Mus musculus: one gene and its partners. The protein of the gene in region 3 interacts with the protein of the main gene of each other region in a pairwise test. Links are inferred from orthologs where the notes say so. Each region holds a gene or a part of one and is shown on either strand. Other genes may lie near its edges.

The links.
Region 1: the proteins of Fez1 (region 3) and Pdcd7 interact in a two-hybrid assay, tested with the Homo sapiens proteins (2 studies listed by BioGRID and IntAct). The link is inferred for Mus musculus from reciprocal best matches to the Homo sapiens genes FEZ1 and PDCD7.
Region 2: the proteins of Fez1 (region 3) and Pam16 interact in a two-hybrid assay, tested with the Homo sapiens proteins (2 studies listed by BioGRID and IntAct). The link is inferred for Mus musculus from reciprocal best matches to the Homo sapiens genes FEZ1 and PAM16.

Annotation. Positions count from the first base shown.
Region 1 is NC_000075.6:65,340,956-65,351,399, forward strand, and holds the start of Pdcd7 (programmed cell death protein 7), read left to right. Parts: upstream 1-5,112; 5' UTR 5,113-5,186; coding exon 5,187-6,053; intron 6,054-10,444. UniProt on the Homo sapiens protein: Promotes apoptosis when overexpressed.
Region 2 is NC_000082.6:4,619,615-4,629,809, reverse strand, and holds the start of Pam16 (mitochondrial import inner membrane translocase subunit TIM16), read left to right. Parts: upstream 1-4,863; 5' UTR 4,864-4,956; coding exon 4,957-4,959; exon of another isoform or gene 4,960-5,340; intron 5,341-8,103; exon of another isoform or gene 8,104-8,148; coding exon of another isoform or gene 8,149-8,201; intron 8,202-10,195. Other genes in the region: Coro7 (coronin-7), read left to right, coding at 638-754, 999-1,134, 1,535-1,626, 2,114-2,200, 2,311-2,316. UniProt on the Homo sapiens protein: Regulates ATP-dependent protein translocation into the mitochondrial matrix. Inhibits DNAJC19 stimulation of HSPA9/Mortalin ATPase activity.
Region 3 is NC_000075.6:36,827,440-36,837,809, forward strand, and holds the start of Fez1 (fasciculation and elongation protein zeta-1), read left to right. Parts: upstream 1-5,300; 5' UTR 5,301-5,472; intron 5,473-5,593; exon of another isoform or gene 5,594-5,614; intron 5,615-6,134; exon of another isoform or gene 6,135-6,397; intron 6,398-10,370. UniProt on the Homo sapiens protein: May be involved in axonal outgrowth as component of the network of molecules that regulate cellular morphology and axon guidance machinery.

The sequences.
Region 1 (10,444 bases), about 29 Mb from region 3:
TTTGTTATAAAAAGAAATCAGGAAACTGGAGGATGTTAACAGATTTAAGAATCACAAACAAGATGATCCAGCCAATTAGCTGTTTACAGTCTGGAAACCTTTTGCTTTCTTTGTTACCTAAGATAAGATCCATGATAGTAGTTGATTTAAAAGATTCCTTTTCCACATTCCCTTTCCGAGTATGATAGGGAAAGGTTTACTTTCTCAGTATCTACTTAAAATCATATTTGTCCAACAAAGAGATATCATTGGAAAGTCTTATCACAAGGAATTGTTAACATCCATACATGTGTTAATATTTTATACAAGAGCCATTAGAAGTAATTCATAAATAGTTTCCTCAATCTAAAATTTACCATTATATGAATGATACCTTATTGGCTGATTCAGATGCAGATACCTTAAAAAATGTTTGATGAAGTAAAGAGAATCTTGCCTTACTGGGGGTTTACAAATTGCTCTTGAAAATATACAAAGAGGAGATTATTTTAGTTACCTAGGATATAAAATAGGTCTACAGAAAACCTGACTACAGAAAGTACAAATCAAGAGAGCTCAATTATAAACTCTTAATGATTTTCAAAACTTGCTGGGAGATGTTAACTGGCTGTGGACCAAAATTAGTTTAACTACTCAAGATCTAAGTAATTTATTTCAAACCTTACAAGGAGATAAGGACTTAAATAATCCAAGAAAATTATTAGCTGAGAGAGTGAGAGAGAATTGGCTTTTGTAGAATAGAAACTACAGGATGCACATGTAGATCATTTGAATCCAAAGCTATATTGTATTTTGTTTTTGTTTTTGTTTTTTTCTTTTGTATGCTGCTTTATTGTATGCTACAGCCAGTGATATATAAGAGTTAAACCTTGTGAAACAGAAATCCATGAAGTTCAGAGAGGTAGATATTAAGGACTGATGAGCAGAAGATAGTGCATTGTGGCACATGATAAACAGAAGCTTTTGTACAGACTTCATACTTAGTTCTCTTGAATATTCACTGATTCATAAAAAGTGGTTTGACTACAAAAAAAAAGCAGACTTTCTGGGGTCTGAAGGGATTTGTACCTGAAGACACTCCAGCCAGCAGAGGGTCATGTTGAGCATTCTGCAGACAGAACTGTTTCAAGTCTGCAGCTGCCTGGGAAACCTTCATGCAGTTGAGCCCGGCCTCCAGCTGGAGCTGTTGGACCACCCACTCGAGACCGCTGGGCCTACTCGTCAGTCTGGTTAGGGGGCCGTATCTTTTCCCCCCTCTGCTCATTCTCCCACAGGAGTTTTTACAGAATAGGATACCATTTTAGAGTAAATATTTTTAGCACACAAACAGTAAAAAATTAAAGACCTATGTATAAGAGGTTTCTGAATTGATTCTGAAAGGAAAAATGAGACTTTGTTGTAAATGTACCTCTTTGTTGTAATTGTTGTCTCTGAAGCTTACTGCTTCCATCTGCTAACCTAGGCCTAGTCCTGGAAGTTTCTAGACTTCTATAAAATCTAATCTAGGTATAGAATGATTTTCAGACTCTGAGATGTACTGCTGAATAAACTCACCCTTTCTAGCTTTTCTGAATTTTTGATGGCTAGTTCAACTTGGCTGTTCTGGCTCAAACTCCCCTCCATACTAACTGATTCGTCTGGTTTCTTTCTCTCTGATTTTCCTGAATTCTCTGTTTGGCCTCATACTAACTCTGGCAATATGTTCTATCTTCTATCTCCTTCTCAATCTTGCCTCTCAATTAGACATCATTTTCAATCTTTGATGCTTCCTTCTACAAATTGATTTTACCTTCATTGTTTGGGATTAAAGGTGTATACTAAGGGCATGTCTGTATTCCATCCAGGGATTATTAAAGGTGTGTGCTAAGGGTTGAGCCACACCACAAGTAGAAACAGGGTTTTTTAGTAAATAAAACAATCTCAGGTTCACAGTGTGATTATATCTTGCAATACTTTGTCAAAGAGCAGGAATAGACCCAACAGACCCAACAAAAATTGTGGTACCTTTTACTAATGCTGAAATTGCCTCAGTATGGGCAGAAAATGCTTAAATGCTTTAGTCTCCCTTCTAGAACACCATCAGGAGTTCTTTTTATATAGTCCCGACAAATGAATACCAACAAAGAATGGCAGGGTGAACCAATACCATACAGTGCTATCCATTCGTTGTCTGTTGGGTTATATTTATACCCTTTCCAAATACCACGTGTTCTCTCAAGTATCCGATCTAGCAAAACACCACATGTCTGTTCTCAGCAAAACACCCTCCCTTGTTTCTGCTTCAGCAAAAACATCCTCTCTTAAGAGTTTCCAGAAAAACATTACATGACACAACTAAGTCTCCAAAGAAATAGAAATTTCCAGTTCAGATATTTTTGTTGTTTGGTATTAAAAACACATTTAAGAGATTTAAAATATTTCAAGTAAATTCAAAGAGTTACTACAGTTCAAACTTTGATTTCTAAATATCCAAGAGCTGGTGTGTTTTTGGAGATAAGATAAAATATTTGAGCAGGGCTATGGTAGATCGTGCCTTTAATCACAGCAGAGGCAAGTAGATCTCTGTAAATTAGTAGTTTTTTAAATTCTAGATTTAGTGAACAAGGTGGCGGTGGTACATGACTTTAATCTCCCCCAGGAACAAAATGATCAAACAGAAGTATAAATTCATTTTATGGGATCCTGTCAGGAATAATACTAATAAAACACAGATAGATAAATCTCCAGTTCTGATAGCACACTGTGCTTTCTGAGCCTCCTTGTGAGTGCACTCCTGGATTAGTGAACACACACACACACACACACACACACACAACTCTTTTAGTATGTGAATTAGTGATAACTGAGATTTCAGAAGGTGGATTAAGGGATAAAAATGGTGTGGTTCTAAAAGGGAAAATGCACTGCAGCTTTGTAAGATGTTGCAAGTTGGGAAACCAGGATAAAGGACACGCAGGCTCCTTTGTATTGTTTCTTACAGCTGAATGTGAGTCTTAAGTTTATACCAAAGAAGTTTAACTTTTTTAACTAATAAGATGGAAGGATTTCCCTTTACAATTCTGGCTTATAGCCATTAGTCAGTTTTCTTTCTTTCTTTCTTTCTTTCTTTCTTTCTTTCTTTCTTTCTTTCCTTCTTCCTTTCTTCCTTCCTTACCTTTCCCTTCTTTCCTTCCTTCCTTCCTTCTTTTCTTTTAAAACATGACACCCTGGAGCCAGGCAGTGGTGGCTCATGCCTTGAATCTCAGCACTGGGGAGGCAGAGGCAGACAGATCTCTTTGAGTTCGAGACCAGCTGGGTCTAGGGAACCAGTTCCAGAACAGCCAGAAGATCAAAGCAAATCAAAGATATTGAAAGAAAGATGAAATTTCAAGACCTGTATGTCATATAAAGTACTCAGAAATTGCTGGTTGTTTGTGAGCCTAGAGGCTGCCTGGGGCTGAGAAAAAAGAAAAACAAACCCGGGCATGCCCCATAGTTAAAACATTCCTGGGAACAGCTTGACCATAAAGATAAAGAGGAATGTGAGGACATAACAGGGCTATCTGAACTGAGTCAACAACTCATAGAACTCTGACATCCTGCACGTACATGTAATTTTTCTGCTGATGTTTGAATAAGCCAATAGCATGTCGCTATGCTGAATTCCACACCCCTAAGCTCCTTACCCCATAAAAACCCCTAGCTTTCGAGCCTGTGGCCAACATCCGTTATCTCCTGTGTGGGATGCATGTTGGTCCGGAACCCCATCATTAAACTACCTTGTGTGTTTACATCAAAGACGGTCTATTCGTGATTTTTTGGGTTTTGGGTGCACACCAAATCGGGAATTGAGTGGGGGTTTCCCCACTAGGTTCTATCAATATGACATATGGACACTGTAACATCTATCTCTCCAAGACCACCTAGCTTCTCTTTGTGTTTCTGTGTTTTACACCCTGCATTCTTTCGACCCCCAGCAGACATACTGCAAATCACTAGTACCTGCTGCTTCCATCCTGTGTTCCTCTCATAACTTTTTGTTGTCTTTCAGATCTTAGCCGGAGCTTCAGACCGTGTCTCTAGTCCCTCTAGAACGTTAACAATCATCAGGATTTCTGAATTCAAGACTGAATTGGAGAGGCCAAACCTACTCCATCTTGGGACCAGCCTCCATCTTCAAGAAAAGAAAAAAGCAGAACTCAAGCTGCACCAAAATACCAGAAAGGACCCCATGGCTTGTCCTTGGCCAGAGTTAATCCCTAGCTACTTCCTAGCAACAGTTAATCAAAGATTAGTTTGATTGTTTCAGATGTACTTTCAAACTGTTTGTGATCAAATGCACGATTCAGGGCACCCAACTATTGGCTTATAGTCATTCTATTAGATGCTTGCCAGACTGGACAACCCCTCCCTCGCTTTGAAAGAACCTAGTGGGGAAACCCCCACTCAATTTCCATTCGGAGCGCACCCAAGAATCACGAACAGACAACCATCTTGATGTAAAAGCATGAGGTAGTTTAATGACGGAGCTCCGGGCCGACATATATCTCCCTCAGGAGACAGAGGTGTCGACCACATGGTGGAGCCATAATGGCAGAGCTCCGGTTCGAAACGTATCTCACACAGGAGACAGTGGTTTCGACTCTGACGCTTGGAAGCTAGGGATTTTTATAGAAAAGGGATGGGGCTGGGGGAGGAATTGGCGAGGTTTCACATGATTGGTTCATTTAAACATCAACAGACTGTCAGAAGGGCGGGAGATAGGGGGGCATGTCCTGGCCTGTTCTGCTATGTTCTCAGCCCCAGGTTTCAAAGCTCACAAACAACTCTTTGGGCTATTTGACATAAATTACATGAATCACATGTCTCAAGTTTTATTTCCTTTCAGCTTTTATTTTTCTATAAAAACTTGTTCTACTGAGGGTTCAGGGCTGCTCCGCCTTCTCTTTCTGTCCTGCTGTGTTAAGGTCGATTTGGAGGAGAGCCCGAGCCTGAGCCCGAAATAAACCCTAACATCGGAGACGGATCCTTGGTGGTTTGGGAAGGTTCAAGCTTCCTGGCACGACAAACCAAGGTCCTGCACTACGCCTCGCTTCCGGGAAGTGAGTCAAGCACCGGTCGCACGTTATACACGTCACTTCCTCCTGGAACCCGGATAAAGAAGTTCCCAGATTACTGTCACTGCTCCCAACCGCTGCACTACAGACATGGCTCTGCCACCTTTTTTCGCCCAGAGCCGTCAGGGACCTCCCCCTCCGCAGCCACCGCCTTCCGCTCCATTCGGCTGTCCGCCCCCGCCGCTGCCCTCTCCGGCTTTCCCGCCGCCCCTTCCCCAGCGACCCGGCCCCTTCCCGGGGGCTTCCGCCCCCTTCCTCCAGCCTCCGCTGGCCCTGCAGCCCCGCGCGCCAGCCGAGGCCTCCCGCGGCGGTGGCGGTGGCGGCGCCTTCTTCCCGGTGCCACCCCCACCGCTGCCGCCGCCGCCGCCGCAGTGCCGGCCCTTCCCGGGGCCCGACGCCGTCGAGCGTCCACGGCCACCGCCTCCAGGTCCCGGGCCGCCCTGGAGCCCGCGCTGGGCGGAGGCGCCGCCGCCGCCCGACGTGCTCGGAGACGCGGCCCTGCAGCGCCTGCGTGATCGGCAGTGGCTGGAGGCGGTGTTCGGGAACCCCCGGCGGCCCGGTGGCCTCCGGACCCCGCGCACACCCGCCGGGCCCAGCCTGGGTGAAGTCCGCGCGCGGTTGCGTTCCGCTTTGCGTTTGGTGCGGCGGCTACGCAGCTTGGGGCAGTCCCTGCGCGAGGCTGAGGCCGACGGAGCAGCCTGGGCCTCCCTGCACGCTCAGGCGGCGCCACTACGAGCGGAGCTAGCGGAGCGGCTGCAGCCGCTGGCCCAGGCCGCCTATGTGGGCGAGGCGCGACGGAGGCTGGAGAGGGTCCGGCGCCGCCGGCTGCGGCTTCGTGAGAGGGCCCGGGATCGGGAGGCTGAGCGGGAGGCGGAGGCCGCGCAGGCCACGGAACGGGAGCAGGAGATTGACCGCTGGAGGGTGAAGTGCGTGCAGGAAGTGGAGGAAAAGAAGCGGGTGAGAACCAGTATGCGCTCGGTGGTTGGAGCTGTGGTGTCTGGAACTCGAATCTGCGTGCTAGTTAACTTGTATGCTTATCCGCGAAAGCTAGCCTTTGCCACTTCTTTGCTCTGTATTCCTTGTTGACGATGTGTGGTGCATAAAACTCTAGAATTTGGACTATAAAGTCCCTTAAACACGCGACAGGTTTACACTGGTGCATTTCTGGGAGGACACACCTCTTGTGTCCTGCTTCAAAGTTGGATCCACTTACTGAAGATGCAGAGCAGTATCTTTTATACTGTCCTAAAGCATGCAAATGTAGAGGACTTGGACCACACCTAGAAACCTTTATAACATAATTGGCTGATGAGGTTGATAATAGTTCTCTCCCGGGTTCATTTGTTTTGGTTTGATACTATGAATACCAGTGTATCCGGTGGAGTGGGTCTGTCTGGATCAGGTGTTTCCAGGTACTTGGCCTCTTACTCAAATGATTGAATTAAGGACTCACACAAAATTGTAAAAATAGCAGGAAAACTATATTCAAAAACAATGCAGTAAGTAGCAAGTGCAGATTAGAAAGGAAAACACTGTCAACAGATTGGCAGCCACAAGGCCCATGAGATACTCCGGTTATTTTTGGAGAGTGTGCATAGCCCGGTCCCACTGGTCTCTCAGGTTGCTGTGCTGTTTTGTCCATGCCTTCCTTACCCCTGTTCAGTACTCATATCTATAGTAGACACTACACTAGTGTCCTGCACACAATCCCGAGGAATTCATTACCCTAATTTTACAGACTGAGACTTAAAGCAGCTAACTTGACAGCAGTCACACAAGCCTGTATACCAATATTACCTCAGATTTAGTCCCAAGTTGTATGACTTCAAAGCTTGTCTGTCTCATGTTCTTCAGTAGAACCCGGGAGAAAGTAGGATTTGCCAAGTGTAGGTTGAAGACATCCTCATTTCCTTTGAATGCTATTACTATTGTTATTGTTGTTTCAGAGTTATTTATTTTGGGTTTTGTGATTGTTTTGCCTGTGTGTGTATGTGCACTGCATATGTGCCTCCTGCCTATGGGGTCAGAAGAGGACATTGGATCCCCTGGAACTAGAGTTACAGATGGTGATGAACCATCTGTATGGGTGCTGGGAATTGAACCCTGGTCCTTTGTAAGAGTCACAAGTGCTCTTAATTGCAGACCCATTATTCTAGTTTATATATATGTTAGTTTTATTTATATATACATATATTTGTTAGTTTTTGAAAATATAATTACATAATTTCCCCCATTCTCTTTCTTCCCTCCAGCCTCTCAATGCATCTCCCTTGTTCTCTCTCAAGTTCATGGCCTCTCTTTCTTTACTTATTGTTACATGTATACATAAATACAACCTGACTAGTACATTTAATGTTACTTGTATGTATATGATTTCAGGGCTGACCACTAATAATGAATTGAGGTGCTCATCCCTGGGGAAAACGGTTTCTCTTGCTCTCGGCGTTTCCCAGTTGCCCATAGTTGGCTGAGGGTCTTGGAGCTGCTCCACTTCTGTGCTAGCATGTCTGTTGGTTTTCAGGTGTTGTTGTTTCTGTGCTAGCATGTCTGTTGGTGGTTTTCAGGTGTTGTTGTTTCTGTGCTAGCATGTCTGTTGGTTTTCAGGTGTTGTTGTTTCTGTGCTAGCATGTCTGTTGGTGGTTTTCAGGTGTTGTTGTTTCTGTGCTAGCATGTCTGTTGGTGGGTTTCAGGTGTTGTTGTTTCTGTGCTAGCATGTCTGTTGGTGGGTTTCAGGTGTTGTTGTTTCTGTGCTAGCATGTCTATTGGTGGTTTTCAGGTGTTGTTGTTTCTGTGCTAGCATGTCTATTGGTGGTTTTCAGGTGTTGTTGTTTCTGTGCTAGCATGTCTGTTGGTGGTTTTCAGGTGTTGTTGTTTCTGTGCTAGCATGTCTGTTGGTGGGTTTCAGGTGTTGTTGTTTCTGTGCTAGCATGTCTGTTGGTGGGTTTCAGGTGTTGTTGTTTCTGTGCTAGCATGTCTGTTGGTGGGTTTCAGGTGTTGTTGTTTCTGTGCTAGCATGTCTATTGGTGGTTTTCAGGTGTTGTTGTTTCTGTGCTAGCATGTCTGTTGGTGGTTTTCAGGTGGTGTTGTTTCTGTGCTAGCATGTCTGTTGGTGGTTTTCAGGTGTTGTTGTTTCTGTGCTAGCATGTCTGTTGGTGGTTTTCAGGTGTTGTTGAGACAGTGCTGAGGGCCCTTCTGCCCTTCCTACTTTGTACAGTCAGCAAGCACTCATTTTAGGTAGGGTTTCTAGTGCTGGGATAAAATGCCATGAGCAAAAGCAACTTGAAGATAAGGGTTCATCTCACTTCCACATCCACATCCCAGTGTATCATTAAAGCCAGTCAGGGCAGGAACCTGGAGGCAGGAGCTGACACAGAGGCCATGGAGAAATGTTGCTTGCTAGCTTGCTCTCCATGGTTTGCTCAGGTGCTTTCTTATATGCCTAGTACCACCTGCCCAAGGGTAGAATCACCCACAGTTTTACTGGGCCCTCCCACATCAGTCACTAATTAAGAAAATGCACCATAGGTTTGCCCAGTGGCCGCTCTGGTGGTGGAGCTGGGGATGGCTTCTCAATTGAGTTTCCTTCTTCCCAAAGGACTCTAGCTTGTGTTAAGTTGACATAAAACTAGCCAGCACAATCTCCCTTTTTCCAGTGTCTACCACTGCCCTATAGGCCAATATGGCATTGCTGGAAAGTGTATTGATAGATTTAGCATTGTACCTCAGGAATGTCAGCACAAGGGAGGCAATACTTTAGTCTGAAAAAATTTAGTCGCCGGGCAGTGGTGGCACATGCCTTTAATCCCAGTAATTGGGAGGCAGAGGCAGGGAGATTTCTGAGTTTGAGGCCAGCCTGGTCTACAGAGTGAGTTCCAGGACAGCCAGAGCTACACAAACAAACAAACAAAAAAAGCAGTAGATCCAGCCAAGGGTAGTTTTCCTAGCAGAAGACTGAAGGCATGGTCATTGGCTGTAATGCTGGAATTGCAGGCACTTATATAAGACAGATGGGAGAGAGAACTAAGTGAGCAGATGAGGATATGGAAGGCAAATAAATCCTAGGAAGATTGGCCTCCTATGTGTGAAAGATGATTGTGTGGAAGCTGTCTTTAGGAGCAGTGAAGGGCAAACTTAAGAGTATTACTTAAGAGGCATTGTAGAGTCCTAGGCTTTTCCAGTTCCATTCCTTACCCTCCTTGGGAGCCGGATCTTTCAGGACTGTTAATTTGCATTTTTAGAGTTCCAGGTTGACAAGGTAAATTAGATTCAGGCATTCCCTGTACCATCCCTTAGGAAACACTGAGGAACAAGGGCTCAGTACAGACACTGAAGCTACTGCAGAGAGGGTCTCCTTAAGGAAGGTTATGTGGAACTGGGTGGGGTGGCTCACAACTGTGCTCCCAGCACTCAGGAGGCTGAGGCAGGGGAAGTGCTGCAGTTTGAAGCCTGCCTGGCCTACAGAGTGAGATCATCTCTCAGAGATAAACAAAAGCAAAAAAGGGGAGACATCTGTATGACCAGCTGGGAGAGGCGGATCACACCTGTGGGAGGCTGAAGTAAGATATCTCTCTTTTAGTCCAATACAAGGCTCTTTCTCTTACATTAGTAAAATATACAGGAAGAACAATTATGAAAACTATCAGGTAAAGTTACATTCACAATGTCCAGTTCATTTATATTTAGCAGCCTTGGAGAAAGTACTCTACTATCTGTCCTGTCTTGATGAGTTCAACGTTCTGCACTTAAATCACTTTCTATCACAACTCACATTTACCAACCTATAAATATTGAATCCTAAGCAACTTAAGCTTAGTTATGAGACTGTAACTACCTAGTCTTCAGCCCCGTGAGAGACCTGAGACGGAATAGATACTACTTGAGTGAACAGGAAATTAAATTTTGGAAGCAAGCAGCTTCCAGAACTATAGAAATGACAGATACAGCGACATCCAAGGCTCCACTGCTACATGGGAGTATCTATCTTTGGTCTTCTGTCCCAACATAGGACAGACCTTTCTGTGAAGCAAGAATCATGAAAGACTTGCCTACCTTTTCCTTGCAAGTCTGGCAGTTGGCTGCTTCTGTGTTCTGCTTGCCCGCAGCTTGGACAGCATGCTGTCTGCAGTAAAGACAAGGGCAGGTTCTTGCCCAGTGGCAGCTTGCCAAATTTGAGACAAACTCAATATGAAGGGTCTTTGATGCTCATCATCTTATTTGAAGTAGAATAGGGGTGCTGCCAGGAAGAGTCATGTTTCACTGTCATGAAAGGCCTTTATTAATAAAACATCTAAAATTCCATATTCTGTAAATCTCTGAGGTGTTTTGAAGATCATTATCTGTAGTATATC
Region 2 (10,195 bases), on a different chromosome or scaffold from region 3:
GCTTATCTTGATGTGGTGTGCATGTGTGTTAAACTCTCAGGGGACTGTCCCACAGTGGCATGTCCCTCCCACAGTAGCATACCCCTCACATCTCTTTTCAACTGCTTGAAGTAGGACTTGGTGGGACTTTTGTTCTCTGTAGAAATAGGCCAGTGCTACATATCTGGTCTTTTTCCCTTAAAAGCACTAGCTATTCCCATTGACAGCACACCAGTACTTTAGTTACTTAGTTACTTTCCTGTTGCTGCGGAGAGACACCATGGCCAAGGCAACTTTTATAAAAGAACACATTTAACTGTGGGCTTGCTCACTGATTCAGAGGTAGGTCGTGACCATCGTGGCAGGGAGACGGGCAGCAGGTGAGGAGGGAGAGCCAAGTGTGGAAAGGCATGGGTTTCTAAAACCTCTAAGCCCGTTCACAGTGGCAACCTCTTCCAACAAGGCAATGCCTCTTTAGCCTGTTTAGCTCCACTTTCTGAGAATCAGCCATTCAAATAGATGAGCCCATGGAAAGATTCTCATTCAGAGCACCACGGCTCCCTGAGGGCAGGCGTGTCTGGGCCTAAGGAATTCTGCTACTCCAGGAGGCCCCACCCAGGAGGATTGACTCTAGCTCCTGCTTCCTCACTCCCCCTAGGGTTTTGTCCTTCTGCCCAAGACTGAGTGTGACATTCAGGATGTGGAGTTTGCCCGATGCCTGCGGCTGCGCCAGACCTCCTTGGAGCCTGTTGCTTTCCGGCTGCCCCGGGTCAGAGTGAGTTTGGGTCAAGCACTCAAGCTCCTCTTTTAGTGGCTGGCCAGAGACCAAGGAATTTAAGTTCTTACCTGTTCTTGCACCCAAACCTCCCAGCTGTCTACTTTGGAGGGAATATCTGCCTTCGTATTCTACTGAAGTTCTGCAGAGCATGTGAATGCCAGCATGGGTGGGGCCAGGTCTCAGGCCTCTGTGTCCTGGGCTGCTGGTCAGTGTCTCAGGACAGCCCCTTCACCCTCTGCAGAAAGAATTCTTCCAGGATGATGTGTTCCCGGACACAGCTGTGACCTGGGAGCCAGCACTCAGTGCCAAAGCCTGGTTTGAGGGTGCTAATGGACAGCCCCGGCTACTGAGTTTGCAGCCCCCTGGCATGACCCCAGGTAGAGTAAGGAATAAAACGGGGAGACAGCAGGGGCGGGGAATCTGGACAGGGGTGGAAGGAGGAACAGGAGGCCCAAGTACAGTCCTTCGTTCCTGCTGCCACAGACCTCCTAAGGATGTTAGACATGTCTCCAGACCCAGTCTCTGAACCCCTGGAGAGCAAGTTCTGTGGCTTGTGTTTTATCCTAGCACATATGCATATGTACACACACATGCATGTGTTGTATACTTAACACATGCAGTATCCTTACATATACATATCCTGGTGCTATGGGCAGGCCTGGTGAACAGGGGCTTTAATAACTTGTTAATGCCACTTCTTTGATCTGTGCCAGCAAATTCCCTGAGGGTTGATTCTAAACAGCACCTTCTTTGATGCCTGTCCTTGCTTTACCCCAGTGAGCCAGGCCCCCCGTGAGGTCCCTGCCCGAAGAGCCCCATCTTCAGCACAATACTTGGAAGAGAAGTCTGACCAACAAAAGAAAGAAGAGGTGAACCTCGGGAGAGGGCTGCTATGTGGTACAGGCAGTGTCCCCCATGCGCTTAGTTATCTGCCAACTCAGGAGCCTCAATCCAGATGGCAGGAAGAACCACGTGTTACCCCTGTCTCCACACCAGACTCTGGGTAGGGAGTCACACCCAGGGCACAGGAAGCCAGGGAGGGCAGCAAGAGGCACACATGCTAGCCAGCCTTTACCTAACCAACATTAAAGATTGAAGACCTAAGCCCTTGGTCAGCCTGGTGTCCACTTGAGCCTTTGAGGCAATGCACAAGAGATGGCGGCTCCTCATGTCAGGTTCCACGTGCTACAGTCTCTTGTCTCTGACCCCTTTTTACTGTGTTTCACAATGAAAACCCAACAACTTAGTTCTAACTGAAAGGGCGCTTTTTAGCATTGTTGGGGTTAAAAATGGGGTTTTAAGTTCTTGAGGTCGGAGAGTCATTTCTTTCGGTCCCTCTCCTGTTCACTTTCGCAGCTGCTGAATGCCATGGTAGCAAAGCTGGGGAACCGAGAAGACCCACTGCCACAGGACTCCTTTGAAGGGGTGGATGAAGATGAGTGGGTGAGTGGCACTTGGCCCGGCTCCCTCAGCCAGCAGCACTGTCCTGGAGACAGTGTGCTGCATTCTTTCACCTCTCAGGCCTCTAACTCCTGCTTCCTGCCTCACCCCAGGACTAGCCTGCACGCGAGGCACGCCTAATCACAGCTGCCACTGCCACCTCCTACAACTACCTGCTGCCCTCCACACCTAAGATCTCTGCAACCTGGACAATGCTGCACTGGCCCTGGCACGCACATCCAGCTCAGAAGCCCTGGGTGTCACGCAAGCCTCAGGCACTTCCACAGCTGTGGGGCCTCCATGCAGCTGCAGAGACTGCCTGCTCCTTAACCCTCTGGAGCCAACTGTTTATCTTCAGCTGCCTGTTAGCATGTGACACCAGTGGGTGGGAGGTAGGTGTCAGTAGCATGTCTCTGGGCCAACTCGGGATGCCCTGTCTCTCCCAGTCTTTCTGCTGGTTTCCTCTAATATCTTCAGTTACTACAAGCCAAGCTGTCTTGCCTACTGCACCAGCCCCAGTCAAGGACACTGGGGGCTGGTCCCCCACCAAGCTGTTGGGAGCCGCTTTCTCCTTAGGGGCCTAGGACCATTTGTCCTGCTTCTCCTGGCTTGAGGAGAAAGGGTCTCATGGCGCTAACAGCCTCATTACAGTGGTGTGGACCCCATAACAAACAGCCTATATAGGATATGCTCTGGATGTTTCCAGCAATTAAACTTTTCTAAGCTGGCTGCCTCTTGTGCTGCTCCACTCCCTGGGAATATAGAAAGAAGGATACAGGGATATGAGTGAGCGAGCAAGATTTGGGTCTGTTCCTGTTCGTGCTGGTTTCACTTTGCTACACGTTCCTTGTAATATACAGGAAAGATGGCGCTCCGCTGACTGCAGCTCTGTTACACTAGGGAACCAGTGGTGCATAGGAAAGCAATGAGGAAACGGAAAAGGAGCTGACTTGGGCTCATGGCAGGGTCAGGGCCTGAGGGGGAGATGTTTCCGTTCCTAAAGTGAAAACTAAGATCTGCAGGACCCAATGGCAAGCAAATGGAAGGTCAGCACTGTACGCAGGGAAGGGAGAGTGTGGAGGTAGGTTGGGCACTGGTCTAGGTCAGAGGTTCTCAGGCTGTGGGTCACAAACCCTTTTGGGAGGTCAAGTGACCCTTTCACAGGTGGCTTAACATGTTAGAAAACACAGATATTTACATTACGGTCCATAATAGTAGCCACAAAAATAATTTTATAGTTGGGGGTCACCACAACATGAGGAACTATGTTAAAGGGTTAGGAGAGTTGAGAACCACTAGTCTAGAGGCATCTGACTTAAGGCCATTCACCAAACATACATGAGTACCCATGCCAGGCAGCCGTCCCGGTGCTTGATAGCTAGGAGTAAAGGCATAAATGTCCTGCTCACTGTGAGTGCCTACTCTAGTAGGAGACATAGCAATGATAATAAATGTTAAAAAAAAAAAGAAGAATTATGTCATAGAGCAGTGTCTCTCATCCTTCCTAATGCTGCAGCCCTTTGATACAGTTCCTCATGTTGTGAACCCCAATCATAAAAAATACTTTCATTGCTACTTCATAACTGTAGTTTTGGTACTGTTATATATCACAATGTAAATATTTCTGGAGGTAGAAATTTGCCAAAGGAGTTAAGATGCACAAATTGAGAACTAAGGGGAAAAAAGGAAGCATGAAATGATAATGGAGTCACAAGACCATGTGTTGTTCCGATTCTGAGTCTGTGGACTGTTGAGGAGAAACCCAGACACAAAGTACAGATGAGTAGATTTCAAAGTAGGGACGTGCGTGGCTGCTGGGCAAGAACTGGTCTGATCTGGATGTTGGTCATGGCAAAACTGAACTGTACACTCCAAAAGGTGGAACTGCTTGGTGTGTGAATTACGGCTGTCTTGATGGAACTGTCCCAACACACAGACACACAGACCAGAGAAGGTCTTGTGAGGACTTGACGAGAAGCCTTTGCAAACCAAGCAAAGAAGCTTGACTAGAGACCAAACCTGGCATAAAGATTCCAGAAGCAGCTGGGCAGTGGTGGCGCACGCCTTTTGATACCAGCACTCAGGAGGCAGAGACAGGCAGAATGCAATGAATTCAAGGCCAGCCTGGTCTACAGAGTGAGTTCCAGGACAGCCAGAGTTACACAGAGAAACCCTGTCTCAAAAAAAACAAAACAAACAAAAATCAGAAAAGAATAAACTAAGCATCTGATGTTTAAAGGACACCTCAGACCTTTGAAATCAGGACAGCGTGCTGGGCATGCCACTGTAGTAGGGGACTTGGTGGCCCTCACTGAGGAGATGGCATTAGATTACAAAGTTGACTGAACATGGGCAGAAACAGTTCCTCAGGCGTCTAGGAAAGAGCTTCACCAGAAGGGGCAATGTGAAATAAATCCTATTTTGAAATACCTGGTTCTCTTAAATATTCTAGCGATTTTAACATCCAACCCTATTATACTCTGGTTTATTTCATATGATAGCTTCTTCCTAAGTGTTTTGGGAAAATGAAGGGAAGGCCACCAAACTGCACCAAGTCTGGGGCCGCCCACTGGTCCTCTGGCCCCGAGGCAGGCTCCGCCCACATGCGCGGTGCCGCGAGAGTCACGCCTCTGGAAACGCGTCGCGTCCTTGCGCACGCGCTCTCCGGTCTCCCTTGACCTCTGACCCACCAGCAACCCTTGAGCTGGTCCCACTGGGTCGGGAAGCGGCACCCGTCCCCCTAAAGTGGAGCGTCCGCCATGGTGAGGCCCGGGATGGGGTGTTCGGGAAGGGAGGTCAAATCGGAGTCCAGCAGCGGGCTCTGGTCCTGATGCCGTGAGCCCCCCGGGTTCCTCACAGGAAGCAGAGTCTGTAGCGTGGCGCCCGGTCGGTCGTTGGTGCCCGGGCAGTGACGACCGCGGACCGGGGAATCGAGGCTCGGTTGGCGGAAAGCTCCCGGCCAATCCCGGCCTGTGCGTTCCCTGCCTCGGCGTGCGCGGTCCGCTGTGGGCAGTGGGAGGAGACGGTCGTTGACTGGGCCGGCTCCTGAGTGGCAGGACTCGGCGATATTGGTGTTGTGTCGCTTGGCTTTTAACCGCGTTTGACAGTTGGCTCATCCAAGGAAGTGGTAGACCTGAGACTTGCTAGAATTGAAACCAGAAAGGCTGAGCGTTTTGGCACCATTGGCACCTGAAAGTTGCCCGCAGGTTCTTGAGATTTGCCCCTAAGTGATTGGAAGGTTAGGGAAGCCTATTTATCTGTTTGTTTGAGACTAAGTACCACTATGTATATAGATAGTGTGGCTCGCCCGGAACGCCCTATGTGCTCAAGCTGGCTTTAAACTCACTGAGATCCTTTTGTCTCTGCCTCTGGCTCCCAAGGGCTGGCAGTAAAGGTGTGCGCCATCTCACCCAGCTGGGAGCATCTTCCTTGACCATGGGAAAGTAGGTAGTAGTTAACCGCTCACAATGCGTTGTCTGGAGCTGAAGCTTTATGTAGATTGTCATTTAAGCCTTCTCAATCGTCCCCATTTTAATTTAAGGGATTTGAAGCTCAGAGAATTTGACTTTTCCAAGCTCATCTTTCCCACAAGAGTCAGTTTGGCCCCAGCTTTGTTCGTGTTCTGTTCTGAGACTAAACATTTGCCACTATATTATTCCTTGTAATTAGGTCGCTGCCATTTAGTAAGAACCTTTGTTGGTTCCTCGTGGAACTCGGTCTTTAGCGTGCATTCTCCACATTCCACCTTGAACTTACCTCAGCTGCTCGTGTAAGGCTTATACTTGTAAACCCAGCACTTGAAAGGCTGGGCCAGGAAGATCAGGAATTTGTGAGTTCCAGGGCAACTTTAGTACATAGGGCTGAGAGTATAGCTCAGTGTTGCAGTGCTTGCCCACCACAGGTAAAAGGCCTTAAATCCATCCCCAGATGGATTTCTCATCCAAAAGAGGATGAGAAAGTACTGTTGGAAGGTGAGGTAAGAGGAGCCTAGAAGATTACCCCTGGGAGTCCGATTATGTCTAATTTTGTCAGGTCCTTAGGAATGGCCCAGGTTTGGGTTGGGGTACTGTCATGCTTTATAACTCAAACCCTCCTGCCTCCGCTTCCCAAGGACACTACTACCACCATGCCTTGGCAGTGTTGAGTCTCTGACAGTGTCTAGATAGGAAGGAGGTCAGTGCAGTGCATCAGAGGTGGGGCACTGTGCAAGAACTGGGCCCCCGCCAGAGCCTTTCCTCAGCATTGGAGGCATACAGAAATCCTGCCTGGGGAGTGGACTGTATGAGACTGTAGCTTTGACCAAACAGAGCTAAGAGTGACTTGATTAAAGTGTTGATTCATGAACAATCATGTTCTTTCAGATATGTGCTGTTCAGGCCAGTAGGGACCCAGAAACACTGTCATAAATGCCATTGTAGTGCCCACCTTCCTCCTGTCTAGCTGGGACACCAGTAACTATTTGTAAGGCCTGCCACTGTGCACTGGAGGAACACTGTACACAGACCTGAAAGCTAGGGCCCTCCTAGTGCACTTCCATGACTTAAGCATCATTTTTGGGATCCCTGCTCACCACCCTTGTTGAGGTTCTTTGTGCCATATTGCTTCCCAGTTGGGAAATGAAATGTGGTGGTCTGCATTTCCACCTTGCCACTGGGGTATTAGAAGGATACTTGGGGTAAACTGAGGGATAAACCTCCTGCTTTACTTCTTGATGGTGGGGTGCCAGGTTCTTGGGTCACCAACATACTGCTCAGGAGAGGTGAAATACAGTCTAAGATGGGGGGATCATGTTGATAAAGGTGATAGACAGTGGGGGCTGAGAGGATGGCTGTGGTTCTCAAACTCCTGTGCACCCAGACATCACTGGGAACCTCAAAGAGTTGATAACAGGGGCTGGAGAGATGGCTCAGCAGTTAAGAGCACTAACTGCTCTTCTGAAGGTCCTGAGTTCAAATCCCAGCAACCACATGGTGGCTCACAACCACTCATAATGAGATCTGGTTCCCTCTTCTGGGGTGTCTGACGACAGCTACAGTGTACTTACATATAGTAAATAAATCTTAAAAAAAAGAGAGAGAGAGAGTTAGAACAGGGCCTGCGATGAGCCCTAAGGTGTGGGGAATCCAGCTTAGCTCAGGGTAGTGCCAGGAGTGCTGAAAGAGCTTCTGCAGGAGACTTAGGCACTAGGCACTGCTCTGTAGGACACAGCCCCCACCTTCCACCCTCATGGTGGTCCTTGATGAAGGTGACAGTTCTTGCTTGTCCAAACTGCTTTGTTAATGGTGAAGATGCATGCGACTTACTCGGGGTGAACCAGAGATTAAAATACCTTTTGCAGGAAGGGATACCCAGGAAGAAAAGCTCATTGGTAAGGAATCCCTAGATAACTCGTTAGCAAGAGAACTGTAAGTTCCATGCTATGTGACTGGTTGTCATGGTCCCCTTAGTGGAGTGTCATGGTCGTGTGCTCCAGGACGGGAACCTGATCAGGAGCTAGTCTGAACTCCTGCCATTCTCCATTTTAAGTTTTATCGGGGTTCTCAACTTTGCTACTACCTTGGCAGTTCTCTGTCTGATGTCACCGTCCTCTGCCCCACAGTAGCGTGTTGCTAATGGCAGGTTTCAGGGTCGGAGTCCTGTCTATGTTGCCTGCCCTCAGTTACTGCTTGGTCTGAAGTTACCCACCAGTTGAGCTGGCAGGCTTGTCAGTGAGTTATTTAGAGGCCTTCTTAGAGGGGCCTTAGTTATGGCTGTTTGAATACCCTTGGAGTGGGCTATAGCTGGTAGAGCTCTGCACGGGAAGTCTCCAGCTGTGAGCAAAGCATCGACTCCCCGACCATGAGCACCAAGCAGGTACTGTTTGAGAGCAAAGCCAACTGGAGCTCTGACTCTAGGACCCTCCTTACCTGGCAGTCCAAGGCTTTACACCTCTCCTGCAGATATTATTCTCCTCACGTTGCAGTTTTAAGATGTGGTTCAGAAAAGTTGAGTAATTTGTCCAAGGCTACAAAGCAAAGGAAGGATTCCAGTGGGTTCAGCCTCTTTTTGGCTCCTTTCCCTTCTTCATTGCTCCTAGAAGACCATTGTGTAGATTTTACCTCTGAGGTACCAAAGGGCCTGACTGGAAGAAATTGTGGTTTTGTTCTTTTCTTCTTTCTTTTCCCTTCCTTCCTTCCTTCCTTCCTTCCTTCCTTCCTTCCTTCCTTCCTTTCTTTTAAAAACAAGCAGGGTCTCCTTATATAACCCTTGCTGGAATTCACTATGTATACTGAGGTGACCTTGAACTTGTGGCTGTCCTACCTCTGCCTCCTGAGTACTGGGATTAAGGCATGAACCACCAGGCTAACTGCCTGACCACTGAAAAACTTTTTTTTTTTTTTGTTTTTTTTTTTGTTTTTTCCAGACAGGGTTTCTCTGTGTAGCCCTGGCTGTCCTGAAACTCACTCTGTAGAACCGAACTCAGAAATCCGCCTGCCTCTGCCTCCCAAGTGCTGGGATTAAAGGCATGCACCACCACGCCTTAAAAAACTTTTATTAAAACAGAATAATAACAGGTGAAGACCAATACTTGCTGGTTACCTGCTGTGTCATTTAGGCTTCATGCTAAACATCAATCTCTGATAGCCACTTGTGCTGTCAAGAAACTGAGGCACATAGGGGTTGAGAATTTGACCAGGGTAGGAAGCTGGGATGGGTACAGGAGATAATCTCAATGATGGCCTACATAAATGCTCTATCAGTCTGCCAACCTCCAGAGAACATCTCAAACATGGGTAGTTCTGTCTGCAAATCCCTGGTGGCTGGTGGACCTCTGCAGGCATTTTGCCTTCTCTAATAGCTTCTAGGCTTGAAGTGTTTGAGGGTGGAGTGGGGTTCTGAAGTTATAGCTTGTTTTATTGTTTTTGTTACTCTGCATAGAGATCTTTCTGAGTGTTTATATAGTTCTGGCCATCCTGGAACTTGCTATGTAGACCGGAGCTGTCACTGGACTGAGAGATCCACCTGCCTTTGCCTCCGCAGTGCTTGGATTAAAGGTGTGCACTATCATGCTGGCCAGCCTCAGTTCTTTTTTTTGTTTTGTTTTTGTTTTTTTCGAGATAGGGTTTCTCTGTGCAGCCCTGGCTGTTTTGAAACTCAACTCTGTAGACCAGGCTGGCCTCGAAACTCACAGAGATCCCCCTGCCTCTGCCTCCCAAGTGGTGGGATCAAAGGCGTGCGCCACCACTGCCCTGCTCAGCCTCAGTTCTTAACATTATTTAACAGTAGTCATGGACCTTATCAGAAAAGTACATCATTGCTTCCAGGGCCCTGGGATGGATGTGTGGCAACAAAAAGGGCAGACTTGCTGTGATGTGAGATCTCCTGAGGGGGGTTGTAGATCCAGGAGCCCTCTAGAGCCAGTCAGAAACCAAATTCCATCTCAAAGCTTCCTGTCCTACTTGGCAGTGGTTCTAAGTGAGCAAGGCACAAGTCAAGTGAGATTACCAGTCAGCAAGCGCCTTGTTACTCCTGATCCGTGCCACAGCTGCCCAACCCCATGCCTGTCTTTGATCACAGAAGGGACTTCTCTGGGCCATGCTTTCTCATATGGAAGGTAGGGCTTATAAAATTCCAATCTACTGTGAGGTTTCCCTAATGACCCATAATTATATCTGCTTGCTAAAGAAAGGACAGAGCCTAGAAGCCAGAAAGGCGAATTCTAGAGTCTGAGTCTTGATGCAAGGCCACCTTGTTATCCCTTTGGAGTAAGGCGCTATGGGTAATAGGACTTGAGCTATCCCAGCCCTCTCACTGGTTCCAGTAAACCTCTTAAGTTCTTGGGGTTAAATGGCACAGGCACTAGAATGTGTTTGACACAGTACCTGCTACACAAGCTCAGTCAATACTTGTTGACTGAGAAAATTAGCCACAGGGATGTACTAGGAAGAAAGGTCCAATCTTTCAGCTGTGCCACATGAGCACTGCTAGGGCAGTGAGCATTTTTTTTTTAAGTCCTCG
Region 3 (10,370 bases):
TGTGGAATGGCTTAGCAGGTAAAGGCACTTGCCTGAAAGCCTGACGTCTCCTAAAGTTCAATTCCTGGAACCTACACACACACACACACACACACACACACACACACACACACACACACACACTTTAAAAAATATTCAGTGATATTTATTGCAGTACTTGTTAAAGGCAGAATTTCTGTAGGGCCATCATAATAGGCACAGGGATTACCTTAGTGGGATTTCTGCAATAGGAGAAAAAGGTTGATCTCAGCTCACAAAAAAAAACAAGGGCAAGTGGGAATTTATAGCTGAGAAGCAGGGTGGGAGTCAGCAAAAGAAGGGAGGGAGGATAGATGGATGGAGATGGATGGATGGATGGATGGATGGATGGATGGATAGATAGAGGTTCTAAAACAGGGTTAATGCTGGAGATTGGTTATGGTGACCAGAAAGCATCTGGGATAGTGGATATTGAGAAATTTACTTAGGGATCAAAGGTACCTAGACCTAGAAGATAAGGGGTACTACAAAAATGACTTAACACAATTTTTGCTTAAACTAGATTTTATAAGGAAGTGTATAAATGGGGCTAAGAGAGGTTTAGGAGACTGTTGAGAGTTTGGTTAAACAAGGAATGTTTATCAGAGCAACCTTATTCACTACCCACTCAGGATACCTTTTCTTCTTAGAGTTCAGTGCCGTAAAGCTCTCGGCTGATAGGATATGACAACAGAAGAGATCAATCTTGCCTGAAGCGGCTTTATAGGCAGCATTAACTCCTGCAAACAGGACACTAGGGAAATGTGAATTCTCTTCTCATCATGCTCACAGTACTCAACACTGTCCTGACCCAAAGTTGAGAGCTTGGAGGGGACAACTGTGGCCCTGGGCAGTATTTTCATGGCATGCTGGGCTCTGCAGATTTGCTGGTGGTGACGTGATTTTTATTTGGCTGGATGAGTACAATGGAATATACTGTGCTATTTTCATTCCCTCAAGTTCATTTCTGAATCATTGCATGTCTGGTACCTGGGCATGCGGAAGGAAGCAGATAACAGAAATGAGTCTACAGCTGGAAATGGTGAGGGTTGGTGTGGGGGGTTAATACAAATGAAATCTCTGATTAACCTAAATGTCTGAAGATTCTCTTAAGTGAGTATCCCATCTTCAAGACATTATTGTCTAGGATCTCTTGTCTCTTGTACAGCCATGGCACATGCTGATCTCCACTGATAACTCACTTAGTAGACATGGGAGATGGAAGACTGGTTTGTTTGCTTATCTATCTATCTATCTATCTATCTATCTATCTATCTATCTATCTATCTATCTATCTATTTGACAACTATATATCCAAAAGTTTCCCAAAACAATGGAAAACCCATTTCCCTTTTTTGTTGTTATTTTGCTTGTTTGATGCAGGGTCTCATAGCCTGACTAGACTGGAATTCTTGGTGGACCTGCCTTCTAACCTCTTGTGCTAGGGTTACAGGCATGTCCTCCCACCCTACTGTTCTACAACTCCCACAGAACTGGGAATTAAACCCAGGACTTTGCATACTGGGCAGACACTCTAGAACTAAACCATATCTCTAGCTCCAAACTTGTAATGTGATAGGTGAAGCAGCAAACTCCTAAAATTCCAGCACTTGGGAGGCTGAGGCAAGAGGATCAATCAATTTGAGTTCAAGGTCAGCTTGGGCTACAACATTTAGTTCCAGCCAGCCTATGCTATGTAGGGAAGGCCCATCTCAAACAAAACAAACAAAAAACAAGCAACAATGAAAACACTAAAAGAAAAAAAAACTAAAGCTAAAAGAAAAACTATTGCCACATTTATATTATGGGAATTTTAATTCTCTTCAGGGATATCACTTTGGCAGCTAGTTTTGTGTATGTTCTGGTGGGGGGTGTTTTTGCTGTTTCTGTTTCTGTTTCTGTTGCTGTTGCTGTTGCTGCTGCTGCTGCTGCTGGTGCTGCTGGTGTTTCTTTGCTTGTTTTGTTTTTTGGCATGCTCTCACAGAACCAGATAGGAAAACTGCTGTGTAGCTAAGGATGACCTGGTCTTGCTTCTGACCTTCTAAAGACCGAGATCACAGGCATGTATCATTACACCCAGGCATTTTATGCTTTTATCAGGTAGGTGTTCTGGAATTATTTGCTATCAATATCTATGTAACTGTCTATTCTTTTTCAAAGTAATATGGTTTGGTTCCTAGCATACATGTTTTGTGGTAGAGAATAACTGCCTTCGAATGAGGTAGCTAAGAATATATTTTGAAATTTGGGGAACATTCTATATCCCTTGTCATAATAAACCAGGGAGTTTTAATCAGCACAGGTGATTAAGGGTGAGCTGATGTAGTGATTCATGCCTGTAATCCCATAGTGTGTAACTTTTCCTGGGGAGAGGTGAACAAGGTCTATTCACCCAAGATAAGGTACCAACAACAGACCAGAGAAACAACTCCACACACATCTGGCTCAGTGAGCATGCATTATTGGGTTATTTGTTTATTGGAAGTACAGGCAAATGGTTACTTATAGAAACATAGCTAACTCAAATGTCATTGAAAAGCCCACTGCAGCATGGGTGACAAATGGTCTTTTCCTTGGAGCTCCACACACAGTTTATAGACAGTGTGGCTGGTTAAAATCTCTTCTCCAGCAATTAATTGTTACTGCTTATAGTAATGGTAGTAGGGCACTTATGAATCTTGTGACTTTCAGGAGATTCCTGAGCCTTGGATATGTCATTTACTTCCTGAGTCTTAGCTTCCCTCTTTCCTTCAAGATGGAACCATACAAATCAGAGGAAATAGCTACACAACATCTCAGTCTTGGGAGGCTGAGACAAGAGGATTACTGTGGGTTTAAGGCATATTGTATAGTGCTTTCAAGGCCAGAATAGACTATAGTCTGAGATCCTGACTCTTAGGGAAGAAGGAAGGGAGAGAGGAAAGAGGGAAGGAGAAAGAGAGGGAGGGAGAGAGGGAGAAAGAGATTAAAGATAGAGATGGTCAGTCATAAAGGTGTCATACACCTTTAATCCTCAGGAGGCAAAGACAAAACAATCTCTGAGTTCAAGGACAGCCTGGTTTATATACTGAGTCCAACTAGAGATACACCATACCAACAGCAAGACTCCATCTCAAACAAACAACAACAACAACAACAACAACAAAGCACCTAAAACCAAAAAGAAAAAAAATATCATTACCAAATCTGTACTGAGTTTTCCTTCCTTGGCACATGTCACTATTTCAGCTGGTCTGTGTGTGTGCTGGCATCTAGACCACCAGTCCTCAGGAAGTGCTTTCAAATCCTCACAAAACCAGTAACAAAATAATTAACACTGAATATCAAATTCCAGGTGTTTTACATCATTTTGCATAATTTAATTTCCATGTAGCCCAGACTAGCCCTAAAGTTAAAAGAGTAAGTGTTTACTCCTGCTTTAGCATCCTGAGTGCCGGGTGTGCACACTTTTGCCACCATGCTCAGCTGGAACACTGGGGTTTGCAAAGACCAAACTCTTTCCCAAAGACCAAACTCTTTCTCAGTTCCAGTACTTTCCTCACAAGCCTCTCTCATACTCTGAATATTGCACATGGAGTCTTTTTTAAAAAGATGTATTATTTATTTTTGTAATAACTATGTGTTGATGTCTGAGTATATATATATATACCACTTGAGTTGCAGGGACACTTGGAAGCTAGAAGCAGGTGTTGAATCTCCTGGAATGGAATTTTGGCTTCTCAGCAGTTAGTGCTCTTCATTGCTGAACCATCTTTCTAGATCTAAGAAATAATTTCTAGGAGTTGAGAAGCATGCACAATAATTCCCAGCAGCACATAAAAACAAAACAAAACAAAAACAAAAAACAAAAAACAAGCCGTGGGTATGAAAGTACACATCTGTAGTCTCAGCACTCGGGAGGTGAAGGTGGAAATATCAGACGTTCAAGATCAACCCTTGACTACATGGTTTGAGCCCCCACCCCAACCTCCACTACACCTCGTACCACCATCACCAATCAAAACCAGCATAGAAAAGTGCATTAAAGCTTCTGCTAAGGAAGTAGCCAAGGGTCATAGCTCCTCCTCTCCTTCCTAGAAGTGCATTGCATGAGTTCACTCCCTTAATCTAACAACAGGCCTCGGAAGTGGGAGGTATAACCCTCATTATGTTGATGAAAACGTGAGCCGCAGCAAGGATAACTTTCCCAAGGTCACAAAACCACATGACGCCAGAAAAATAGGGTTTAGCATCTATTTCTTGTTTTGCGTGTGTGTGTATATAGGTGCAGTTGCCATAGTGCTCTTGTGGAGGTTGCAGGACAATGTTGTGGACTCAGTTCTCTTCTAGCACATTCATGGGAGTCCCCAGAGTCGGGTTCAGGTTTAGACAATGAGCACCTTTCACCTGCTGAGCTCTCATGACCACTTTTTTTTCTAACAAGAAAAACACCCTCATGTTTCTAATTACCAGGAGGGCAGAATGGCTAATACTTTTTCTAATTTCATCAGAGATGATGTCCCCCTGCCTTCCCTGCCCCTCATGATTGAACTGTTGTGATAAGAGTGCATAAATCAACATAGGGAAGACCCCCTTCACCTCCCGGCTGTCATTCTTGGTTTGGCCTAAAATCAGACAAAATTAGGAGGTGTCACCAGGCAGACATGCCTCTCTTGTGCTGTCTTTTCTCTTTTCTTTCTTTTTCTTTTCTTTTTTTTAAAACTACATTATTAGATTTTATATGAATAGCATCTCTAAGCACAGATTTACATACAGCACATCAACGTGTGAGGTGTAAAGTCTGAAGTCTTTCTATTCCTGGATCCCCCTCACTCAAATTTCTCACTTGCATTCCACAGTTTTGGATGACAAAATTATTCCCACCATCCAGCCCCCTCACCTTGGAGCTATGAACGACTTTGGAGTAAGGCGCACCTCTTGGCTTGTCCACTACAACCCCTAATAGAATAGGAAGGGCAGTCCAAAAAGTGCCAGAGGCTCTTTGAGTGTGTCTGTCAGTATCTGCCTGCCCATCTACTCCATTTGCCTGCATTTTTATACAAAACCTAGTGTTGGGCCATCTGAAGAATCCATATTGGTAGCGATTGCACGCCCCCATCTCGGAGCTTCTGAATATTCATGTGGGAAGCAGAAGGGCCAGTATCAAAGAAGGGAGGAACGGCAATTCATAAATATTAATAAAGGTAGGTCCACGTGCTCTAAGGAAGCTATGAGTGTTCACGACAGGATGACGTTCAGGCCCTGGGCGCGCCCGTTAGGCGGGTTCCCGAGTGCGGGCGCGCCTCCGGGAGCCCGGGCACGAGCGCGGGGACCAGGCGCAGCCGGAGCAGCGGGGGAGCGCTCGCTGGCTGGCTTGCCCGCTGACGTTGTGCTGCACCGGGCCACCTCTAGTCGGTGGTTGGGGATGTCTGGCTGAGCCCTGGGATCCGATTCCTTCCTCCAGGACCCGCTCAGGTGCGGTGGTGGGAAAGGCGATCTTAGTCTGGACTAGCCCCAGTCCTGGGGGCGGGTGTGTGTGTGTGTGGGGGGGGGGGGGGTCGAATTCGGGTGGTGAAGAAGACCAGAGGATTGGAGATTCTCTCATAGGATTCCTCGGGTATGCGCTACTCTCATCTCCTCTGGGTCTTTTCCTCAGAAGTAAAAAGAAGGGTTCGTGGGCCGTCGTCCTGGTCTTTCCCAGTCTTGCGGGAGCTCAAGCTCAAGGGCCCCGGAGTGGGTACTGGTAGCATCATCTCAGAGCATCGTGTGTGTGTGTGTGTGTGTGTGTGTGTGTGTGTGTGTGTGTGTGTGTGTGTGTTCATGTGCAACACAGTGCCGGGAAACCCTATCTGATGGTGCTGGAGCAATGTGGACTCCATATGTCATTCCAGGACCGTTATGTGTTCCGCTTATCTTAGGCGTCTCAAAATCATCTTTGTCCCTACGAATCTGATCCTGCAATCTACTTGTGCCCCTCCGCGGCGTGTGGAGCCTTCCTCAGACGGGGCATTCTCGCAGTGTCAGACCCTCTGGCTGCAGTCCTCTGGGAGCGATTGTTTTACTACACAGAGCAGGTTGGAGAAAGGACGAGTGTGACGAAAAGGAGTGTGCAGAGCCCGCCCTCATCCTTGGGGCCCAGGGTGCTGCAGAGCGGAGGTTCAGCTGAAGGGGTGTTATACAATCCGTTCTTCTTGCCCTCTTGTCTTTCCCTTTGCATCTTGTCTCCAAGTACGACTCACCCATCCCGGTGACCAGGTCTTATTTGGCAAAGGGAAGACAGTGGAGTATGAGCAGGGGCTGCGTGGGATGAGCCGTGCATCCTCAGAGTGCCAGCCATTGTGCTGCCTAGAAGAGCCTTTCTTTACTCCGACAGAAGAGGGAGAGGAGGTCTGAAATGGAGGTGAATGGAACAGAAGGGGGGGGGAGGGTACCGAGTCCGGTGAAGGGGTTGCTGAGCCATGTGCAAATGAGTATTTATTCTTTCTGGCAAAATGGACAGCTTATACTAGCCAGGTTTTGCAGAAGAGCAGTGGGAGTCTGGAAGTGGATAACAGAGGGCATTTTAAGGATCTATATGGGAATGGGAGGGGAAGCACAGAGTCAACTGGTCTACAGAACAAGTGATGGAAAGACCAGGGAGATGGGATGGCATGTGTGGAGGTGCAAAGAGGCCCAGCAGGGGAGGCACGATGAAATCTCCCTCTCATCCACCATGCATTCAGCTCAGTGAAGCAGACTGGGGACTTGTACTGCAGACCCAAGCTGCAGCTTCTGTACTGTTAGGCTGCAGGGAGAGGCTTTTTCCCATGTTTCCTTCCGAGTGTCTGTTGAGGACTGTGCGTTCCTCTTCTAAATTACACCACATATTTGGAGTCCTAATAAGTGGAATAGATTGTATGGAACACTTACACTATAGTCCTGGATTGTGTTCAATAATAAAAAGACGAGTTTCCCATGATCCCTCTCTGCCATTTTCACATATTTATTTATTTTGGAATCACAAAGAAGATGGCTATTCCTTTTATTAACATTAACTTGTGTGTGTGTGTGTGTGGCAGGAGGGTGGGAGGTGTGAAGACAGAACCCTAGATGTCACATATGCGCGGCAAACGCTCTGTGGCTTAGTTGCTCCTGTAGCCTTAACGTTAGCTTTTAAGGGAGGAGGACTTGGAGAGAAGCTAAGGCTGAGGAGCCAGCAAACTTGCCAGGATGGAAGGATGCAGGGTTACTTCAGACGTTTCAGATGAGAAGTGAAAGCAGTCTACCTAGAGGAATAGAAAAGAAGATGGACTAGAGAAAGAAGGTAGGGGGGCCAAATGAATGGGATATGCCAGCACTCCAAGCCTGGGAACCCCTTCTTGAGGTTTGACTCTCATTTACTCTGCCACAGCCCCAGATACAAATGCTCCACTCAGGTTAGAAACCATGTTAATACAAATTCCCAATATACAAGCTCAGTTTTAGCATCATCTGTCTGATCATTCACAGAGTACCTCACGGCTCCTGGGTGATGAGTTGCTGAAAAACCAATACTATAGATTGAAAACAATATTATAGATTGTTTCAACTAACAATGTTTCTGGACTCTGAACCTTGATATCCATGTCTTCTTTTATAGCCATTTTTTTAAACTTTTATTTTTAAAAAGTATTGGCTGTGTGTATGTGATGTGTGTGTGTGAGTGTAGACGTGAATGTGCCACACAGCACAAAGGTCAAATTTCAGAAATTAGTTCTACTGTGGGATCCAGGGAGCAGACTTAGGTCGTCACGTGTGCAGGGTGAGCACTTTTAACCGACAGAACATCTAGAGGCCTATTTCTTTTTATAGTTTTTGTAGGTATATTTTTATTCTTTAGGGGTTGTCTGAGTCAAATATACTCTCTTTTTGATACTCCATTTTATTTTGATTATTTTTACTTATGTGTATGTGTGCAGGGGCCATATGAGTTCAGGGGGCATTGAAAGCCAGAGTCATTGGATGACCCCAAAGCTGGAGTTAGAAGCATTTGTGAGCCACCCTATGTGGGTGCTGGAAATCGAAGTCGGTATGTGCTCTTAACCACTAAGACACCTTCCAACTCCTAAGCACTTATCTCTGTTTGGTTTTCCAGCATTCCAAGCTCAGTACGTTTGTTGACGTGCTTGATTGAGGCAGGCTTTCATGCATCCCCAAGCCTGGTGGAACATGCTATGTAGCCAGGGAGGGCCATCAAGTCTTTCTGCCACCGTCAACCCAGTGCTAGGATTTCGAGTGTGCATCACCACAAATGGCTTCAGGTGGCCTCAGTCCTGGATTCTGGTTGGGTTGTCTGTTGTTGCTTGCTGATGGAATCAGTATCCTTGCTAGCATCACCTTCTTATCCTAGATCCTGTCACTCCCAGAGAGAAACACCCATTTCAAGGAAGTTTAAGTATCTGAAGTTAACTGACTGGCTTTTGAATCTCTCAGAAATGAGGCCTGTGATCCAGGAAATTTTGACAAAATGAATTTTAAAAAGCCTTGATGAAAAAGATTCCCAAATCCCTCCAGCAATTTCGAAGCAGCATGCACTACATATAATGGCAGGGATATTTTTTCTTTCGTTTAAAAAATGCAACCCTGGATGACCTAGAACTCACTATGTAGACCAGGGTGGTCTTGAACTCACAGAGAGTTGCCTGCCACTATCTCCTGAGTGTTTGAATTAGAGCTGTGAGCCACCACTTCTGGCCTCCACACTTTCATGTAAGTAGTATATCCTGATTTTCTGAGGAAAGCCAAATAGCCTTCAGATGTAACTTTATTTATTATTTAAACAAGTTTTTAGATATATTCACTTTGTATGTATGAGTGTTTTTCTTACATATATGTCTGTGTACCACATGCATGCCTAGTGCCCTTGGAGGTCAGAATAGGGAGTTAGAAATCCCCTTACCCAGAAGATTGTGAGCTGCCATGTGGGTGCTGGGAATCAAACCAAGGTTCAGCAAGAACACTAAGTTCTCTTAACCACTGAGCCACCTTTTCAGTCCCTATTTATTATTATTTTAAAATGTTTTTCTTATGTGTGTATGTGCTTGCGCATGGTGGTATGCACATATGTATGTGGGGAGCCTTGGAGGCCAGAAGATAGCATGGAATTGGAGTTACTGGGGCCTGTTGCGAGTGCTGGAATCCAAATTTAGGTCTTCTACAAAAGCAAGTGCTCTTAAACACTGAGCCATCTTTCAGCCCCACAAACACTATTTTAAACCACATTTAGTAGATGAGGAAACAGAGGCACAACAAGCAGATAGTTTGCACAAATTCTCACAGCTAAGGTAGATAAGATAAGGTCTGGATTCTCAGATAACAGACCACCATAGTCTTCATTGGCACAGATCTTTTCTACTCTTCCTCCATCTCTCCTCCCCTTCCTTTCTCCCCTCCCCTCCCCTCCTTCCTCCCCTCCCCTCCCCTCCCTCCTCCCCTCCCCTCCCCTTCTCCTTCCCTTCCCTTCCCTTCCTCTCTCTCTCTCATTCTCTCTCTCACCATGGTCAGAAATTTTAGGGCTTCATTTTGCAACACCTTTTCCCAAATACTCCCAAAATTCTTTTTTTTCCCCATTTTTCATTTTATGTGTGGATGTTTTCCAGCATGTATGTATGTGCACCATGTTCTTGCAGTGTCCAAGTCTGCCAGAAGAGGGTGTAGGACACTCTGGGGCTAAAGTTAACAGATTGTAGTGAGCAGCCGTGTGGGTGCTGGGAATTAAATCAGGGACTATTATGCACCAAATCATCTCTCCAGCACCTCTATTCCCAACCTTTTAAACTGCTATTTCTCAGAGCTGCCTGGCACCTTCCTTTATGAACCTGGACAACTCTGTTGTTTACATAGTTTACTTTTAAATTGATGGTGAAATTTTTACTAAACTATTTTTCCCTTTTAAAATGTCTTTACTAAATATCTTCACTGCCCCAGTGACTTGTTGTTCTTAGTTTATTGGTGTGCACAGTGTCTTCATCCTTTGAATTTTCTGCCCCTTTCTTGGTACCTTGAGTTACTCTTGGCTCATTTACTGTCTACAATGGTTCCTCTGGGCTGAGCTTCAGTCATTCTAGATCTCCGTCACCTAACATCAGAATTCCCAGGGACTCCTTTCACTTTCTGACCCATCATTGGGATTTCTACACCTTCTCACTTTTCCCCCGTCCACTTTGTCCTTCAATTGGTGTTTTTCTCTGTGTTGAACAACTCTTCTTCCTCTTCCTTCTCTTCTTCGTCTCTTTCTTCTTCTCTTCTATTCTCTCTCTCCTTCCCTGCCTTCCCCTTTCCTTTCCTTTCCTTTCCTTTCCTTTCCTTTCCTTTCCTTTCCTTTCCTTTCCTTTCCTTTCCTTTCCTTTCCCTTT